Linked DNA regions of Rhinolophus ferrumequinum. The protein of the gene in region 1 purifies or fractionates together with the protein of each later gene. This does not show direct contact. Links are inferred from orthologs where the notes say so. Each region holds a gene or a part of one and is shown on either strand. Other genes may lie near its edges.

Region 1 (9,955 bases):
CACAGATACAGAGATGATTGTGGGTTAGATACGAGTGACAATGCATGCAAGTTGACAGATTCAGAGAAAGGACAGTCACTTTCAGCACAAGCACCTCAAGAGCTTCATAAGACATGTTCAGACACACACTGTCAGATCCTGACACACGAGAAAGCAACACATGAGCACGCACACACACACACACACACACACACACACTAGCAAGATCACCAACTTGGAAAGACACTCAGAGGCAAAAGAGAAAAACAAACGTGATGAAATGGACGGAGAGGACATGTACACACCATGACAAAAAAGGCCCCTCCCCTGCTCCCCACACAGTTGCACACACTCAAAAGGCTTCAAGGGACACCAAGACTTAACAGATACACGCTACCACACTGGTAACACTCACATGTCAGATTCACCGACAGATGGACACATGCAAGCAGACAAACTGACATTCATACATGCTATGAACAGACAGTCACATCCAGTACAGAGAAGCATGGACAGGCCACAGTAGTGCATTCCTAAACACATTGGCACAGAGACACCCTGGCATCTGCACACACACACACACACACACACACACCAACCACAGACAGGCCATAGCCAGACATTCATAAACAATGGCACAGAGATACCTGACACACACACATGCACACACACCAGCCACAGAGCTCACACACACACAGACCTCACACAGGCAAGCCATGGACCTCACACACACACACATACACCCCAGACATGAATAGGTTAGCCATATGAATTCCAAAACAACACATGCATATATAGACCAGCTACATGCAACCTATTCCATAGACCATACACACACCTCACTCCCCCAACACACACACACACACACACACACACACACACACACACACACACACACACACACAACAGACAGACCCTATACACCCCTGCAGGGTTAGGCGAACACACAGACAAATGTACTGGGGAGACAGGCCTCACATACTCTCACACGCCCTGACAAGCCAGCCACACACAGATCCACAGCCGACCAGACACACGCACTCCTGGACCCTGCTGAGGTTCTGTGGGGCTCTAGGCTTCCCAGCCTGTCTCTATCCCCTTCAGAGATCCCAGCACTTACTTTCTCCAAACATTGCCCCCCACTTTCTGCCCTCCCTACTGTTTGTCATTTCCCATAGGCCCAAGTCAGCTGCCTCAGTCCCGGGTGGGCTGTGGGCCTGTTTTCTCAGCACATCCCCTGTAAAGGGGGCACACAGAATCTCAGTCGACTCAGGCCCCCCAAGACCTCACCAGCAGTGTGTGTGGGGGACAGAAACAGTTTTGTGGGAAACTCCCCTCATGCCCAGCTGAGTCAGCCTGAGGAGACAGCCTCTCCTTCCTGCTTCCAAGAAAACCCAGCAGCTTCCTCTCCAGCAGAGGGGTGAGGGACCCCCAAACCACAGAGGTGGGGGAGGGAGGTAGCTGGCAGGCCAAGGGTTCCTGGGGGAGGGCCTCTCTGATTCTCAGCCTCTTCCTGCCCAGCTGCCTGTCCACACCCAGGGGCAGGGACGCGGGATGTTGGGTGCTGTGACTTGTGGGTTCTCGCCCTGTCCTGCCCACCAGCTGACTCACACACAGCCCCCAGCCCAGTTTCCTGGTGAGGGCTCCACTGGTCAGTGGGGCCGGGGGAGGGGGGTCACCAGGCTATTTATAAGAAGGAGAAGTCCCTCATGTCAGGACCAAAAGCCCCAGAGAGACCCGTGGGTGGGGGTGGGTGAACTTCCCCCTTATCCTGTCCCCCCACCCCATGCCCTGGGCCCCTGGATGTGGGGGAAGCCTGGGCACAGAGTCCTCCTACAGATGCTGGTCTGGAGCCCAGGGGCTGGGCAGTCCCCAGCTGACAATCTGGGCACCCAGGCCAGGCGGGGGAGGGGGCTATCCTCACACCCTCTTCACAGGGCCCTTGGCGCCAGTGGGGCGGCGTGAGGGGGTGGTGCCCAGGCCACAAGGGTGAGACTGGCAGGGGCCTGGAACCGGCTGTACCAGCTCAGCTGGGCCCCCGCCCTCCCTCGCTGGCCTGATCCCCACCCCCTGTTCAAACACCCATGCAGAGTACATGGAGCCACCCGACCCCACTCCAACATGCTGGGCTGTCTCCCCACCCACCAGCATCTCTCCATCCTGTGCCCAACTCCATTGCTCTCCAGATTAAAGGAGACCCTTCATGAAAGGGTCTACAGAGCTTGGCATCCAGTTGGTACTGCATAAAAGCCTCTCTGCTTGTGATTATTCACAGTGTAGTGGCTAATGCTCTGGATCCAGACAGCTAGGGTTATATCTCGACTCCAGCACTTATAGCTGTGGGCCATCAGGCAAGTTCTTTACCTTCCTGTGCCTCAGTTTTCTTGTCTGTTAAATGGGGGTACATAGCATGCATTTCTCTGGGTGGTTGGAAGCAGGCAATGAGTTATTCTACGTAAACCACTTAGAAGAGTGCCTGGCCCATGATAAGAGCCATGTAAGTGTTAGCTATTAAAATAATAATTACTATTTCTCAGTCTGTCTGCCTATCTTAAGTGTCTGAATCTTGCTGTCTGTCTGCATGACGTTAACCTTGCCCCGGGTTTGTCTCTCTGGCCATCTCTCCCTGCCCTGACCCCTGCCTTCATACACCCACTTTTCCTTGCTGAGTCCTTGCCCTCCATCTGGATCCTCTCTGGGCTGGCCTCACCTCTTTCCAAGACTCCCCTGGCCTGGCCTGCCTCAGCACTGGCCAGGGCTGACTCACTGTGGCCTCCTGGCCTGTGAGACCTGCAGGTTGGCTTCGTGAGATGCTGCCCTCTGGCCAGACCTGCCCAGCCCCCCAACCTTGCCTACTGCACCCCCGCAGGGCCCAGGCCAGATGTCAGCTGCAGTTATTAGCATGGGCGGGAGACATAGGCCTTGGCAGCCTGCCGGCCAGACTCAGCGGGCCGCCGGAATCTCCCTTGAGCCTGGGGCGGGGTAGGGGAGCAGTTCAAACAAGGGGAGGAGGGAAGGGGGCAACCAGGGGTCACAAGGACCTCCAAAGACCAAAGACAAGGGACACCCCCAGCTTCTCATGGGACCTTCCTCCCAAGCACCACTGCTCTACTGGACTTCCCCCTACCCCCACACAGCTCAGTTTCTCTTTCACCTCTTTCGTTTTCCTTCTCTCCCCCACCATTGGTGAGCTCTGTGCCTGTTGTACAAAAACTGGCTAGCTCCATCCTCAGCCTCTACCCTAAAGAAACTTCCATCATTCCAGAAGATACAGGCCTCTCAGAGAGAGAGAGAGACTGAGCTTCTCACCTCTTGTTCTAGTGGCTCACATCCTAACTGCTTGGAAGTCCCACCTTAAGTCTAACTAGAAACCTCACCATCTAAACACCCACTCAGTCCTTAACTGGGGAAGGGGCTCTGGGTTTCCCCAGATTCTTCCCTTGGATTCTCAGGTCTCTTCTGACTGGAGGGAAGGGGAGCCCTCAGATAAAAGAGATATCCTGTGGAGGAAGGGAACCCCTCCCAGGTATTCTGGATGGTTGACGGAACCCCCAAACAAAACAAGAGTAGGGGCGCTTGCTCACATGAGTGAAGGAGGGGGCATCCCAGCCCCTAAGGGTGTTTGTGGGGAGGAGTCCCACATCTGGCAAAAAGGAAGGTACCCGCCCGAGGGAGGAGGCAAGCCTTGCCAGCCCGCCCAGGCGCCGGGGGCGCCTGGAGGCACTGACCCGCCTTCTCCGCGCCCCGTCGGGCCGGGGGCGAAGTCCGACCCAGGCCCGCGGACAGGCGGGGACCTGCCGGGCTGGGTCGGGCCAGGCCTAGCAGGACGCCGCCCCAGAGCGACTGGGTGGGGCTGGGCCAGGCGGCCGTGGGGGCCCGGAGGCGGCGGCCGAGGCTGGTCGGGACTAGCCGTCCGGGGGCCCCGGCGCGCCCTGGGACCTGGCAGATACCAGGGCTCCCGGCTCCTGGCTCGGGTCCCCGGGACAGCGCTGGCCCCACCCCTTCCTGTGCCCTTATATGGGCGTCAGGGAGAGACTCCCGGGGATCGCCCCGCCCCCAGCCAGCGCACGGACTCTGGCCTGTTGCCATAGCGACCAGGCCCGCTCTTGGGTGCGTCCCCCTCTGTCGGGCCAATGGAATAGTCCCCGAACTGTCTGCCTCCGAGATTGCGGGCGCCACGGGCTGAACCACATTGCTGGGCGGGGGGAACAGTGACTGGAGGCCTCTGCAGCTGGGCGTGTTCGGCGCACCCAGGCCTCAGCAGTGGTCGCGCTCCCAGGTTCCTCATCCGAGGCGCAGAACCCCGCCGGACCCAGGGCGGGGCGCACGGTCCAGTAGGATCCGAGTGACGGAGGCCGGGCTGGGCTCCGTTCCCCAGGGCTGTTGCCACATTTCCTGCCGCGAAGCTCTTCCCAGGCCTTTTCTAAGGAAGGAGTGGGGTTGGGTGACCGCGCCCAGGCCGGCGGGCTGGGTCCAAGCACCAGGAGCCGACTCGGTGTCGGTCAAGCCCACGGTCACTGGGGAAAGGCTTTGGGATGGGGACAGAGTATACAAAGACCTCAGCAGGAAGGTCACCCAAAAGAGGGGGCTCCAATCATGGAAGATCCAGCAGCCCAAGTCCCCAGGATCCTCAAAGACCCCGCCTTTCCTCATGTCTCAACCGGGGACCCTCTGTCATTGGCATCTCAGCTCTGAAAGTGTGCTCTGACCCTAATTCTACTTCATCAGGGCTTTGCAGATGTCTCCAGTGACCCCCTTTTCTACCCCACATATTTTCTCTGAGTCAGTGTACCCCAGGACCCTCACTCACTTTCTGCATATCTAGATTCCCCTAGTGTCCCCCCTTCCCATTTGTGGGGGACCCTCTGTCTCTCCCATGGACTCCAGGACCCCTACTCATTTCTTGCATAATGGGTCCTCAAGCCTCTCCCAGTGTACCCTTTTCATTTCTCCTCCTCCCCAATTTTCCTGGATTCAGTCGCTCCCATGAAAATCCCAGTCCCTCAACCCCTGGTACTTGGGACCCCCACACAATTCCTGTGTCAGGCCTCTCTTTACCCCTTCCCCTGCTTAACCCTTCCGTCTCTCTTTTATGGGGTCTCCTAGCGTATTCTCAGCTTTCCAACTCCTTTTGGATACTCCGGGTCCTTCAGGTCCTTCTATGTACAACCTGGGACACCCCCCCTCCCCAAACACACACACACACACTTGCTCTGTATCAGTTCCTCATGTCCCTCATCGCGTACTTCAGGGGTATCATCATCCACCCTGGAGCCCCTCCTCGGGTGCCTCGGACCGCCCCAGCACCCCCTTCCTCGCGCGTCCCGGGGTCCCCTGAGCCCCTCCCCCTACAGCATAGCCAAGCCACCCAGCCCGTGGCCGCTGTTTACAAGGACACGCGCTTCCTGACAGTGACGCGAGCCGCCTCCTCCCCTTCCCCACGCTCGAGGAGGGGGGCGCGGGGGCCCGGCTCGCGCGACGGCCAATCGGAGCTCACTTCCGCAGCTGATAGTCGTGGTATAAAAGCGTGTGGCTCTGGCTGAGCGGCCGGTACCTTGAGCGCGGCAGACCAGCGTCTGAGCAGCAGGGAACGGGGAGCAGGGGTAAGCGACACGGAGAAAGCGAGCGCGCCAGAGAGGGGCAGAGGGGCTGGAGAAGCCGCACAGAGCTTCCGCGCAAGGCGGCCGGGTGGCCTCTCCCGGCGGGTGCCGGCACCCAGGGCCGCGCGTCCAGACAGTCAGTCCAGCCACCGCCGCGGACAGAGCACCGCTCGCAGCAGCGAGGCCCGGGGCGGCCCCGCAGGGACCCCCCCAGACCGCCCGGGCCGCCCGGATGTGCACTAAAATGGAACAGCCCTTCTACCACGACGACTCATACGCAGCGGCGGGATACGGCCGGGCCCCGGGCGGCCTCTCTCTACACGACTACAAACTCCTGAAACCCAGCCTGGCGCTCAACCTTGCCGACCCCTACCGAAGTCTGAAAGCGCCTGGGGCGCGGGGCCCCGGCCCAGAGGGCAGCGGTGGTGGCAGCTACTTTTCCGGCCAGGGCTCGGACACAGGCGCGTCGCTCAAGCTCGCCTCATCGGAGCTAGAGCGCCTGATCGTCCCTAACAGCAACGGCGTGATCACGACGACGCCCACGCCCCCGGGACAGTACTTTTACCCCCGAGGGGGTGGCAGCGGTGGAGGTGCGGGGGGAGCGGGGGGCGGCGTCACCGAGGAACAGGAGGGCTTCGCCGACGGCTTTGTCAAAGCCCTGGACGACCTGCACAAGATGAACCACGTGACACCCCCCAATGTGTCGCTGGGCGCCAGCGGGGGCCCCCCGGCGGGGCCTGGGGGTGTCTACGCGGGCCCGGAGCCGCCTCCTGTCTACACCAACCTCAGCAGCTATTCCCCAGCCTCTGCGCCCTCCGGAGGCGCCGGGGCCGCCGTCGGGACCGGGAGCTCATACCCGACGGCCACCATCAGCTACCTCCCACACGCGCCGCCCTTCGCTGGCGGCCACCCGGCACAGCTGGGCCTTGGCCGAGGCGCCTCCACCTTCAAAGAGGAACCTCAGACCGTGCCTGAGGCGCGCAGCCGCGACGCCACGCCGCCAGTGTCCCCCATCAACATGGAAGACCAGGAGCGCATCAAAGTGGAGCGCAAGCGGCTGCGGAACCGGCTGGCGGCCACCAAGTGCCGGAAGCGGAAGCTGGAGCGCATCGCGCGCCTAGAGGACAAGGTGAAGACACTCAAGGCGGAGAACGCAGGGCTCTCCAGCACTGCCGGCCTCCTCCGGGAGCAGGTGGCTCAGCTCAAACAGAAGGTCATGACCCATGTCAGCAACGGCTGCCAGCTGCTGCTCGGGGTCAAGGGACACGCCTTCTGAGCACCCCTTCCCCGTACGGACATTCCCCCAGCCTGGACGGCTGGGCGCACGCCTCCCAAGGGGCAAGGGGGCAGGCGGTGGGCACTTGCCCCGGGGTATGGGGGCGGCGAAAACCACACTGGACTCCTGCCCGCCGGCTCTGCGCCCAGTCCTTCCACCTCGACGTTTACAAGCCCCCCTTCCGCGTTTTTTTGTATTTTTTTTTCTGCTGGAAACAGACTCGATTCATATTGAATATAATATATTTGTGTATTTAACAGGGTGGGGAGGAGGGGGCGATCGCGGCGGAGCTGGCCCCGCCGCCCGGTACTCAAGGCTGCGAGGACTCAAGGGAGGGGCCCCGCCCCCTGCCCTCCCCCCCTGCACCGTACTGTGGAGAAGAAACACGCACTCAGTCTCTAAAAAGTTTATTTTAAAATGTGTTTGTGTGTGTGTGTGTGCGTTTGTTCTGACTTTTTATTGAATCTATTTAAGTAAAAAAAAAAAGGTTCTTTATTAATTTCTGTTGTCTTTTTTTTCGAAGCCGGGCGGGCGGAGGGAGGAGAGTGTTGAGCTGCCCACACCCCACTGCTGTTTGTGGCTCGCTCCGGTATTTGTGTCCCTTCGCCAGCTCTGCCCAGGCATTTCGCAGCTCCAGCCCGGGTGTCCAACCCTCCTCGCGTACCCTGATCCCGGGGGCTGGAAAGTCCAGGGCGCGGACCGGGCCCAGCCTCCCAGGACCTGGGAGCAGGATGCCTGGGGCGAGATGTGCAGTGCGCAGGCGCAGCCCCGTCCACTGGCTCGGGCCGGGGCTTTCCCCGCTGACGCAGCGGAAGCGCTGCCCATATATGGGCCGATTCTGCCCAGTGACGCGACGGCGGTCTCCGGGCAGATTCCGGGAATCCCCTCCCCCGCTCTGCCCGGCAAGGCCGCGGCGCCCGGAAGGAGGCCGGGATTTTCCCAGGCGGGTGGCTGCTTGGGCCCGGAAAGCCCCAGGCCTGAGTCCAGAGCGTCCACGGTGGGCGGGCCGCGCTCTTGGGTCCCGGGAGCCACCCCAGACCCTCCCTTTTCTGGCTGGCGCCCAGGCCCCGCCGCACCCACGCTGTCTGACCTGACCCGGGCGGGGGGTTGCTGTAGTCCGCATGTCCTTGCTGCCGCGGTCCCCCTCACCACCGCCAGGAAGGGCGGTGCCCGTCTGCCAGTTTCCTTCACGGTGCCAGGCAGGGAGCGGGGTGACTGCCAGGTCTGGTCCTGCCGGGGCGGCTGCTCAGGCCGCCCGGCGCAGCCGCCGCCCTCGCTCGGGGCTCCCTCCCCCGCAGCTGGGATGGGTAGGAGGGCAGCTGGTCAAAAGGGTCAAGCTGGCCTCGGAGCTGGAAGCCCCCATAACAGCCGAGAAAAACAGGCGGAGAAACCAGGCCAAAGGGGTGGGGTAGGCAGAACAGACACTTCATTAATTCATTTATAAACTTCTGAACAACACGGCCCTGGAGACACAGTCTGGACCACAGGAGACAGATAATAAACAAGGAAACGATTTGGAAATGGTGTAAGTTCTAGGAAGAGAAAACACAAGTCAAAGTGGTAGTGATGAGGCAGGGGAGATGAGCGGCTTTGGAGAATGGATTGGGAAGGTGGACCTTTAATGAGACCAGATTTGAAGAAGCCAGGTTCTGAGAAAATCCTGCGTAACAGCGTTCTGGGCAGAGAATACCACATGCAAAGTTCCTGTGGCCAGAACAAGATCAGCCTGTTAAAGAACAGTAAGAAGCTAATGTGTCTGGAATGGAGTAAACCAGGAGCATGGAGATTAAATATGGGAAGACCACACGCAGGGACTTGGGGAGGAGTGTAGATAATATTCCAAAGCTGAGATGAGTGACCTTGGAGGGTATTAGGCTGGATAACAATATTAATAATGGTTCTATGTATTAAATGAACATGTCCTATTCTGTGGAAGGAAATGAGGTCTGAGTGGCGAAGCCACTTGCCTGGCCACACACAGCATCAGACTACACTCCTGGAAATACTACCTTGCTCCTGACACCTGCCTCCCAGCCTAACCATCACCTTTCCAACTTGTGGTGGGGCAGAGCTTGCCTACTGTGCGTATAGCTTAAGCTCCCACTCTTGGTTCTGCTCTCACAACTGGGTCCCCACCCTCTTTCCCATAAGACTGGACTCTTCTTCCAGGCCCAGGAACCATCGTAGTAACCATTCACTGGGCCCTGACCTTCACACACTTGCTCTCTTAATGTGCATGGTGATCTGGGTTGGTTGTTTTTATTCCCATTTTCCTGATGATGAAAGCCAAGAAGGATCACAGTTCTTAAATGGTATTTGAACCAAGCATGGCTGATGGCAAGGGATGGGCACTGCCCTCCAAGGCCAGGTTCCTTTAGGGTATTGTGGGATTTGTTCCCAGCAGGGGGCAAAAGTCACCCCCCCACACAACTGCTCTGAGGCCAAGGAGTGAGCATGAGGTAAGACTGTCACCTTGTGGTGAAGATAAGTAACTACAGTGTTAGTTTCCCAAGGCCAGAGCCTCGAGGAAAGGGGAAGGGGGGGAACATCAGAACAGAACACACCAACAGATTCATATTTGTCCCTAATACTTTATTGGTCACCTCTAGGCCTGTGCCTCACTAGGTAGGCTCTAGGGAGGGGTTCACCATTCACCACTCAGCTAGGAATACGTGACGGCCATGGCCTAGCCTTCCAGGATCATTGACTGGAACGTGAAGGGGCAGGTCTGGCCTTTCCAGGGCCAGCACAGGGCACCCAGGTGGGGGCACAGGTGGGGACCAAGAGCCCAAGCTTGGCATCCGTCTGCCAGCCTAGTTGTGTTTGGAGAAGTATTCCTTGCTGTCATATACGTTGGGTTTGATTGTGTCACTGCCTGGCTTCCAGCCAGCGGGACAGACTGTGGGAAGACACAAGAATGCACATGTGATGCTACAGCCCCATATTCAAGATAGGGCAGTAGTGAGAGGCAAAGCAAGAGCCCAAATTGCAGAAGAAAAAGCCCACAGCCAAGTGGTCCAGACCCAACACCACACCACATGTTGACAGAAGCCCCCAAGCCCAGGTGCAGGATTTTGGGGCTGATATTTTTATTTCTTTT
Region 2 (10,876 bases), on another chromosome or scaffold:
TGCCAAACGCAATTCGGACTTGGCGGTTCAATGGGGGGTCCCGGACGCCCCCAACCCGCTCTGATGGCAACGCCAGCTAGGCTGCGGGTTGGGGGACGGCTCCACGTGGCCACTCCGTCCGCCGGGCCCTCGCTGAGCCCAGCTCCTGTTCTGACTGTAGCTCACGCCACTCCTGGTCCACCAGGGAACCTTCCAGAACCCTGGCTCTCTCTAACAAGTACCCAGTCGCTGTCCAGGAGGGAAGCTTGGTCCGTTTCTTAAGCGCCTACTCTGAGGCAGGCAAGTTCGGGGCCGGCTCTCACGCGAAGGGGGCGCTTCGGGCCCCGCCTCGGGAGGCCCCCGCTCCTGCACCTCCAGTAGTCCCGCGGGACCCGCCATCTGGCCGAGCTCCGTCCTCCAGGAAGACGCACGGAGAGCCACCAAGGGACCGAGAGAACCGCGCCCCCAGCCCCTTAGTCCCCTCTGCTCCTCTTTACCTCGCCTGACCCCACCAGAGCCGCCGGAGCTAAAATTAGAAAGCAGCGCGATACGCGCTCACGTGCCCCTTGTCTGGCAGGGCCGGGGGCGCGGTCTGGGTGAGTCACGGCCCCGCCCCCACTCGCCGAGGACGCACTGACGTCAGCCGCTTCCCTGAAAGATGACGTAAGCGCGCCAGGGGGAGGCCGCCGGGCTATCCTAGAACGTTCACATGCCTTAAAGGGCCCAGGCTTCTGATGGAAGATCTGAGCGATGACTCCACTCACCTATCCATAGAATCAGAGCCCATCTTATATCCCTTTCTACTGACAAGTGTTGACTGTTGAGATGATGAAAAAAGGAGAGCAACTGAGCCTCATTGGAGGCTCTCTGAAACCTCAGAACCTCTTCCTGGAAGCCCTCCTTGATTAACCAAAGTGTGATCCTGCCTCAAAAAGTTTTTCCATGGCCCTTGACTCCCAACACCTTCACTTACAGCCCCTTCTCTCATGCTTGTACCTCTGCTACTACATAAAGGCTGTGGTTTGACTGTTTATTTATATAATCCCCATCACCTTGGGCCAGCTTGGCCCTTTTATCACTGTTTTTGACTGTGTCCAAACTCTGTCATCAGTAGTGTGACCTGAAACAAGTTAGTTAACTCTCTGGGTGTGAAATTTGTTAACTGGTGTCCAAACATCTCCTCTTATGCTAATGTTGCCCGTGGAAGCTTCTAGAGGCAGGAACCCTGTTCAACAGTTGATCATTCAGCATTATCACAGTCTCACAGGGAACTAAAAATGTACTGAGGTTTACTATAGGGCAGATATTTTCATTACCCTCCCACAGCCCCTCGTGTAATCCTCCTAGCTCAGAGGTTGGTATTACCATCCCCATTTTATTGATGAGGAACATAAACCAAGGCACAGCAAGGTGAAGTATGTTTCCCGAGGTTACACAGCTAAAGAATGGCAAACTGGAAGTCATTCCCAGATCAGTTGGACTCCAGGTCTATGTTTTTGGAGATCAAGTTGGGCTATGAAATGTACGTTTTATTCTCGATATGTGGAGTCCCCTAGAACAAGCTTTTTCCCTTTTAACACAAGCCCAGTGCCGCTGCACAAGTTACCCACTCCATGCCAGAAGACCCCCAGAGAAGGAAGTGCCAGGCCTCAGGGTAAGGCAAGTGAGGACGCTCACTCTCAGGTACTTCCTGCACTTGACCAACTCTGAGAACAAGTCTTTAAGGTGGGCACTCCAGGCACCTCACTCACCCCACCCTAGTCCCAGCCATGCCAGGCCTTACCCTTGACTCGGTGTTTCCTCTCTTGAAACTAGAGCGACCACCCTGCTTAATTAAAGTGTATGCACTGGCACATCAGGGGCCCGCTCTACTCAAGTGCAGAAGTGTTTCTCCTCCATCATTATCCCCTCTCTATAAAGCAAACGAAAATTTCCGGTTGGAATAGCATAGTCCTGCCGAAAACAAATGAGAGACAACAGCTTCTCAAAGTTTTGAGCAAAATGATGGGGACTGTGTACCAGAAATGGAGCCAAGTGGCTGAGGTGCGGTCCCTGTTATCTTCCGACAATCATTACTAGTCCTTGGCTGAGAGTCACAGCCCCAACCTCAGGCTACACATGCCAGGTCTACCAGGAGTACCTTCCTCCCCCAGCTCACCTCATGGAGCCATTTAAAACGGACCCCTCTTCCCTTGTACCCAGCCTCCAGCCACCACCGAGCTCTCTTCTTTGTGTACCCTGGCTCCTGTCCCCTCTAGTGGAGTCACTGCCCACTGCTCTTCCTGTACTGCCAGGCTTTCTGGAGCCTGTCCCCAAACACCTTGCATGTGCTCCCACCGCAGTCTTGGGAGGAAATGGAGAAAACCACAGGCAGCCTTAGCTGTGGGGGCAGCGGCTTCTTTCTCTGTACTGGAGCTAGACACACAGACATGGGAGCTTAAACCAGTATGGTACCTTCAAGCCAACCAGGCCAGCCCCTGTTTTATAAATAACGGACTAAGTAAGGTCCAAGTGCGGTAACCTGCCTGGGGTCACTTGGCCTGTTAGGTAGAAAGCCCCAGTCACCTGCATTGCAGCCCACTGCTCTTTCCATGGATCACACCTCTGTTATAAGTCTCAGGTGGAATGTGGGCATAAATGTGTATGGTAAATTGTAACATGTCATAGAAGGAAAGAAAAATGGGGAATTGAAGTAAATATAGAGATGAAGCCACTGGGAAGAATTGGGGAACACAATTTCTGAGGTCCCCTGGCTGTTTCTACTTCCCCTTTCGTCTCTCTCCCATTCAGCCTCAAGATAGGTGAGGTGGTTATTTTTCCTCAGGAATCGTTTCCCAATGGAATGACATGATGAGTTGGATTGCCATTTTTAAACCTTCAGTAATCCAGATCTTATGTGTCATTTCAGGTTTTGATTTTTTATCTCCCAGTCTTTACTTCCCATCAGTTTCTAATCCCAGAAGCCCCATTAAATATCGTTAAAAGCCATAAATGTAACTGGCCAGTAATGTGGAAGGATTATGATCTCCAGCAAACAACACCAGCAAAGAAATGAGCAGGAATCCTGGGTCTGTTCCCAACTGTGCCACTGACTCACTGGATGACACAAAGCAAAGCTTTGCTTTTACAGGGGGGGAGGGGTGGACATACACACACAGCTGCTGACAGAGGTGGAAGGATGCGGGAGAAGCCATTGGGCAGGCTTCCAACATAGTGGAAACTCAGAGGCTGAGCAGTGGTCCGCAGATCAGCGCTGGGTCAGCCTGAGCTCTGTCCCACTTAAGCGCCTGCCTCGGATGGAGCCACCAAGATGGCTTGGGCTGGATTAGAGCACTTAGCCTTCATGACATCATTCTCATTGGTTAGGAATGCACCCTGGTTATTCCTAACTCCACTTTAATAACTTGTTATAGATCTGCCCTCCAGGAATGTATTTGAAACTTTATTTATTTATATTTCAGCCTATGCAGCCTTTTCAGGCAACAAGTAGATTTACCATTTATGTAAAAGCACTTAGGTCCTAAAACACAGAAAGTGCTACATAAGGGTTTTTTATAATAATATTATTAATATTATTATAAAACAATATACTAACAATCATAATAATAATCCTACAAGTTTGAATGTAAAGTCCCTAATTAAAGGGGCACCAATAATAGGCTCAAACCCCAGCAGGAGCGAGGCTGCTCTGTCTATGGAGTAGCCTGCTTCTTTCTTCTCTTTTCCTTGATTAAACTTATCCTTCCTTTACTCTCAAAAAATAAAATAATTATATTATACTGTTATATAATAAATATAATATTATAACTTGATGATAGTAATAATTCAGATGGTCTCATAGGCTTATTTTCAGTCCTTCACTATGTTTGTCTTTTTTATCTCCATGAGCACACACACTGCTGCCACCCCTTGCCAATCAAAAGTATTTATTAATGGAGTGAGGTGTTGTGATGGGCGTAACTCTGCATACAAACTTATGTAAACACATTCAGTGTCCTCTAAGGACTTACATCTAGGACCAACATATAGTAGGTGCTCAATAAATACTTGCTGGCTAGATGGATGGATAGAATTAAAAAGAGAGAGAGAGAGAAACCTGTATGGTAGCTGGTGAGACATATTTGGAATAACTGTATTGGGGGCTGGAGGGAAACATGAGAGTATATTGGCACAGAGGGAAAAGGGAATATCCTGATTTTATGGTAGGTGTGCATGGATGAGCTCTCCATAGATCGGCCCTAGAACTCATCCTGGAGGAATAGCTGGTTCCCAGGCTGCTGAAATAAGCAATGGATGCCAAAGGGGTGTCCTTCCGCCTGTCACAGGTGCTGTGTAGATGGCAGGAGAGAGGAGGCAGGTATGAGCTCCAGAAGAGGATAACCAGGTTCTGTGGCCATCTCTGCTTTCAATATAAACCACACTAGAATGAAGTTCTAAAATCCAGGTGATTCAGTAGGTGAAAGGACAAACCACAGTATATCTAGACCATGGAATGTTATTCAGCACTAAAAAGAAATGAGTTATCAAGCCATGAAAAGATATGGAGGAAACTTACTCGTAAATGCATATTACTAAGTGAAAAAAACTAATCTGAAAAGGCTACATATTGTATGATTCCAACTATAGGACAGTCTGGAAAAGACAAAACTATGGAGACAAGATCAGTAAAAAGAGCAGTGGTTACAAGGGGTTGGGGGAGGGATGAAAAGGCAGAGCACAGAGGATTATAATGGTGGATACATGTTATTATACATTCGTCCAAATCCATAGAATGCACAACACCAAGAGTGAACCCTAATGTAAGCTGTGGCCTTTGGGTGATAATGATGTGTCAATAAAAGTTCATCCATTGTAAGAAATGTACCACTCTGATGGGGGCTGTTGACAGTAGGGGAGGCTGTGCATTTGTGAGGGCAGGTGGCTCTATGGGAAATCTCTGTACCTACCGCTCAATTTTGCTGGGAACCTATAACCGCTCTACAAATTAAATTCTATTTTTAACAAAATCCAGGTGAAGTGATTGCAGCTTTCGGCATGTAGGTTTGGTTCACTGTGGAGTCACAGAGACTTGAAGTGGAGTCCCATCGTGATCAGCTCTGTGACTTCTGGCAAGTTGCCTCTGATCTCAGTTTCTCCTAAACCCACAGGACTGTAAAGCCTTCGTCAGAGGGTTTTGAGAATTAAATGAAAAACGATGTGTAAAGAGTCTAACCCAGTACCTGGGATATACAGCATGGTAAATATATACAAACCCCCACCCTGATTCCTCCCTAATGACTGATTATTAAACATTCTGATGGTTACTAATTTCAAAGACAGGCCAGTGGAGAAAAGCTGTCTTGTGTAAAGTGACCTTTTACTAGAAAGGGAATTTGTGTGTGGCAGTGGGCATGTGTCTTCCAATGCTCAGTCAGAGATGGTGGCTGCAGAAGGTCAAACATGAACTTGAGCCCTGGGAGGCAGTGTCAAGCCCCTCACTCAGCTTTCTCCTGTGAAAAGGTCAGGATGATGGAAGGCTGTCATATTTAGATGATGGCTCGTAGGGAAGCCTTGGTGGGTTAGTCACCTATCTATGACTTCATATTGCCACTCAATATAGTAACAGCTGTTGGTTGCTTTAGGGGGCAGGGGCGGGGTCAGTTTTTGTTGACTAACCATACCTCCAGGATAAATTCAATAGAATCAGCCGGGAACACATGACAAAGGAAGAGTCTCCTCTAAATAGGATGTTCCACAGTTTTCTAAGGATTTTCGGCAGCTTCCCTCAAAATGTGAGTCTTGACTTTTCTTTGCCTTTGGGGCCAAGCAGGAAAAGTGTCATGGGAGAAAGATGTTTGGTCAGGAAGCCTTCAGCTGGGGGAATATCTACCATGCCCTGTAGAGGGTTGGGAAAGTGAGAAGTTCTGTGCACCAGCTACATGATGTCTCTATGGCACCCAAAGAAGTGGACGGAGGGAGGGGGGTTGAAAAGGCCTGGAGTTAGGGTGCTGCAGAATTTTTGGGTTGCACTAGGCATTTTATCTCTTACAGGTTACATAACAACCATGGGGCCAGATCAGCACCCCACTGAGGCACTGATGTTATCTCAGTCTTTGAAATTAGCCAGCATGAAGGTATAGTTTGACGATACCACTGATTGGTGCCGTAGTTAACTTGGGGTATTGATTATTCATATCATAATGGAAAGCCACTGGATTTGGTTCTCCTCTTTGGCATCTCTGTGGGGCTTTGTGCTTTGGGAGTAGAATGCTTTGAATCAGCATTGTAAGGTGCATGGGTCAACTGGGAAGTACAGACTCGTATCTAAACTGGAATAAGTCCAGAGTGAGGAAGGAGAAGTTAAGAGAGAAAAAGCCCTGGACCAGGGGTCAGGTGACCTAGTTTGGCAACTGGATGTGCCACATTTCGAGCCATGTGACCTTGGGCAAGTCACTGCCTCTCTTTAGATTTTGGTTACTCCTCTTGTCTGTGAAAATAGTATGTGTGCACTTGCAATCCTTCCAACCTTCACTGGCATGCTAGTCCTCTAAATGTGGGTTTGATGTTGTGTTGTTGCAGAGTAGAAAGGACCTGGGGTCTGAGTGTGTGGCTCTGCCACTCACAATGTGACCTTCACAAGGTTTTCCCACTTCCAAAATATGGATTATTATGAGACAGGGGTGACACAATGAACCTGGAAGCCTTTTTGGAGGCACTATGTAAGTGTATTGAAATGATGCCCTGAGGTTGGAAGAGAAGGTGGGGTAAGGTGAGCTGAAGGGGACAGTTAGGGTTACTTATTGGCAGGTCAGACTGTGACCGGGGCTGGGAGCATGAGGAGGTGGGGGCTGTGGTCAGCCAGGCTATGAAATACTCCAACTGTGTCCTGCTCAGTTCCTGGTCATTTCCCAGCAGTTCTGGGAGGGGAGACAATTGAAAGGTTGTAAATGATGCTGAAAACAGTCCAGGAGAGTGGCTGCAATCTCTTGTCTGAATGGGCACAGCACCAATGCAAAGAGGGCAGTGGGGGAGCCCCGCCAGGGTCTGGAATCCTGGGTAAACGAGCAGCCTCCCATTTCCCATGGATGTTCACGGTAATATTCCTGCACTGTGTACTTCCCACGGGCGCGAAAACACCTCCCAGAGGAGTCCTGGAAATAACAGATCACAACTGTATACTGAATACCAGACTGATCAGTGTCGACTTATCCCTTCGGGAAAATCACAGACCCTCTACAGAAACTCGCTAAATTCCTTGTTCATTCTTCACGTAAATCGATTAACCTAGGGTTAGGGATTTTACTTTGCCTTTCCCTTTCATGTTCCCTGAGAATGAAATTGACTACACCTTTGAAGCTGTTCTTTGAGTCATGGACAAAATGTCTGTACCCTTCCACCAAAAAGGGGTTTCTCTGTTTTTGATTTTTTTTTTTTTTTTTTTTTACTTTTGAAGCACCAGACACTGGGTGGAGAGGCTGGTAGAAGGCACGGCTGCCATAGGAGCAGCATGCTGACCTGCTGACTCATCTGACATTAACATCATTATGTTTCAGGAGTCAAAGTGATTTTCAAACTATGAGTAATGCCGGTATTAGAGAGAATGTTTACAAAGCAGCGGGCATTTCAGCACACTGGAGAAACAGAGCAGCTGCTAACAGCTGAAATGAGTGAAAAATTCTCCTAGGAAAAACACCCTTTCTCTCTGGGCTCTCTTTTGAAAAAGATTCAGACAGGAAAGGCAGGTGATCTCAGAGTTCCCTGAGGAGAGATCCAGATGTAGTATGCTTATCTGAATACCTGGATGTCCGATCGTTTTATAAAAGAAAGACTTTTTTTTTATAGTTTTGTTTTCATTTACCCAACCCTAGGGAAAGATGGATTTAAAGACTTCAGCAAATTACTTTTTTAAAGCTGAGGTTTGATCAGTATTAATAATTACAACAATAGTCTAACGTTGTGTGAAGAAATGTGCTGTTTCTTCAAAGGCAAGGACAGAAACAAATGATTTCCAAGGTGGGGAACAGAAGCCCATGTGGTCCATTGTTAACGTTCCTTTGTGGAATTAGTAAGAAAAGTTTGAGAGCCACTGAGCACAGTGAGCCAAGTATTTACACCTCAGGAGAACAGAGAGGGGCTCCAGTCTTGTTCCAGAGCTGTGTCTTTCCCTCACCTCCATTTCCTTATCTCGTACTGGCAATATGAATAACACCTGCTCTGCCTACCTCACAGGAAGGTAGGCCTGCGAAGGCAGGGACAGTGTCTGCCTACCACTCTACCCCTAGTGACTAACCGGGAGACTCGGCCAATAGTAAGTGCTCAGTAAATATTTGCAGAATTAACAAATGAGATAAGAGCTTTGAATGAGATAAGAGCTTTGAATACCAGAACTCCGCTCTTCTGTTTAGTTGGTCTTCCTGTCTTTAGTTCCCCCTTCCCAGGGCTGGATGGGGGCGCTTAGCAAGTGGGGCTGTGCTCCGACACACATCTACTGAAAGTACTAGCTCTAATAAGGAAAAAAAATCACTGCTCTTATCCTCGGGAACTAACTACTAAAACTGGATGAAAACTCCTTGAGAAAAGGCTCATTCAAAAGCATCGCAGTCATTTCAATTTGTTTATATGTTGGAGGTGAATCAGGAGACCTGTCCTGCTCAATTTCACCTGCTGCTTCTTGAACTGCAAGGATCACAGCAGGTACAATGACAATTAAGTCAACTCTGTGTCTGGGCATTACGAAGGCAGGTGAAGGATAAATGAGTTGGATTGGATTAATCGTTAAAAAACAAAAGTTCCATTCTTGATATGTGTTGAAAGGAATAAAAGAAAGAAGAAGTCATGAAAAATTAATCCTGCCACTTTTCTTTTCCATGGGAAAAACATCCACTTGATTTTACCGTGTTTCCCCGAAAATAAGACCCACCCGGACAATCAGCTCTAATGCGTCTTTTGGAGCAAAAATTAATATAAGACCCAGTCTTATTTTACTATAATATAAGACCAGGTGTTATATAATATAATATAATATAATATAATATAATATAATATAATATAATATAATATAATATAATATAATAATACTTATATAATAATACTTTTATAATAAAAGTTAACATAAGTTAGTCTTATATTAACTTTTGCTCCAAAAGATGCACTAGAGCTGATTGTCCGGCTAGGTCTTATTTTCAGAGAAACAGGCTATATGCTAGGACATATTTCTAAATTTTGATAAGGGCTTACAAGTACAGCTATAGCGTTTTCCAAAATCCTCTCTCTGCTCTCTTGTTCTTTCCATTCCTACTTTCGGCCTCTGTCTACTTTCCCCGCTTCCTCCATCCCTAAGTTAACGCCTTCCTTTCGTTCTGGTTCCCATGTTGCTTCCCTCCTCAAGCATCCCTTCTCATCTTATAAACTTTCTTACAGCTTCTAGCAAGGAGTCACTCACATTGTGAGTGGTCAATAACGTTTTGAAAAAATATATACAAAGGAAAAATCATGAACTAATTATGAGAGCTCTTATATATAAATTGGTAATTACTGTTAAGCTACCAAGCTTAATCACACACAAAAATACTCCTGTTCACTTGAGAATGTCTTTGATGAAGCTGTAAAATTTAATTTTATCAAATCTCATTCCTTGAGCACGTGACCTTTGAATGGTCAACGTTTGCATCATGGAGAAAAGGGGTGCCCCCCCAGGGAAAGACACACCCTGAAAACCCTAACCTGCCCTCCACTGAGAGGCCCAGGTTTGCTTTTTGTGGACTGCCTGGATTGACTGATCTCTCCTCTCTCCACCCATTAAAATAGTAGTGTTAGGCTTACTTCAAACAGTAAATATAAACCAGTACATTCATGACTAACCAATTCAAAATGGTTGTTAAAAGAGAGGCAGGATCTGTGGTCCCACCCCAAACGTCTGAGGATGATGTCAGGAAAGAAAATGTGTGCGTTCCCAGTGGATGTCATTTGGTGCTTCTGCCCTAAGCACACTCTCCAGTGGGGTAAATCCAGGCGGGGGGCCTGTCTAAGGTTCTGAAACTCCACTACTCCATTTGTATCAGAGCTGCCTGGCCAGGACAGTCTTGATTTCACATCCTCTGCCCCATTGTTCCTATAAGTACACGAATGCTTGTCAGGCTAGGAACCCTATTTTGGTTTGGACAGAGTTACTGTTCCCTAAGGTATCACAAGTAAAAAGGTTCCTCATTTTTTAATCCTGATTTATCTTATATTTATAAATAATTTAATATTCATTTAATAGTGTTATTAAGTTAATAGCAGGTTACTGAACATTTGAGATCCAAGTGTTTAACCATATATTCTAAAATAAATTTGGCTGTTTAGAACCCTCACATAATAAACTCATTCTAATGCCACCCCCACCCCATATTCTCCCTTTATTTCTCTTCCCCTTCCTCACTTCCCTCTATTTTTTTCTCTCTCTTCCTCCATCTTTCCTTCCCTCCCTTCTTTTCTTGCCTTGTTTTCTTGTGTTTTGTTTATTTCTAAAAAATATATCTAGAAGGAGATTTTAAAACTGATTAAGGACTAGATACTTTTCATTATATGCATATATTAACTGTTTCCATTTTTAATTGTGTGCACATGTTTTTTTCCCAATTAAAAAAAAACCAGGGTTTTGCACACTTCCTGTTTTCTGTTTTAAAATTGTTTTATTTTTTCCCCCAATTCTAATACCAGCCAGCCTATTTCCTCCTCCTGGAACAGCTTCCAACAGGAAATGGGGAAGAAGGGAAGGGAGAAAGTTGACAGAAGCTAAATGCCTGTGTCCACAAAAGGGCTATAGGGAGGTGGCTGAGCCTAACAGGATCAAGGAGGTTTTTGGCCTTTTTCTTTTTTTTTTAAACTCAAGATGCAAACATTTTCCCATATCATTAAATATTCTTCTATAACCTCA

What was found. Proteins that work in one complex are often made in the same cells at the same time.
Region 2: the proteins of JUNB (region 1) and ATF3 purify together in Homo sapiens (affinity purification with mass spectrometry; 3 studies listed by BioGRID and IntAct, counting the BioPlex papers as one, with this or other methods). This does not show direct contact. The link is inferred for Rhinolophus ferrumequinum from reciprocal best matches to the Homo sapiens genes JUNB and ATF3.

What each region holds. Positions count from the first base shown.
Region 1 is NC_046301.1:48,777,359-48,787,313, reverse strand, and holds JUNB (transcription factor JunB), read left to right. Parts: upstream 1-5,516; 5' UTR 5,517-5,811; coding exon 5,812-6,855; 3' UTR 6,856-7,350; downstream 7,351-9,955. Other genes in the region: PRDX2 (peroxiredoxin-2), read right to left, coding at 9,669-9,754. UniProt on the Homo sapiens protein: Transcription factor involved in regulating gene activity following the primary growth factor response. Binds to the DNA sequence 5'-TGA[GC]TCA-3'.
Region 2 is NC_046305.1:19,764,091-19,774,966, reverse strand, and holds the start of ATF3 (cyclic AMP-dependent transcription factor ATF-3), read left to right. Parts: upstream 1-5,649; 5' UTR 5,650-5,750; intron 5,751-6,075; exon of another isoform or gene 6,076-6,092; intron 6,093-10,876.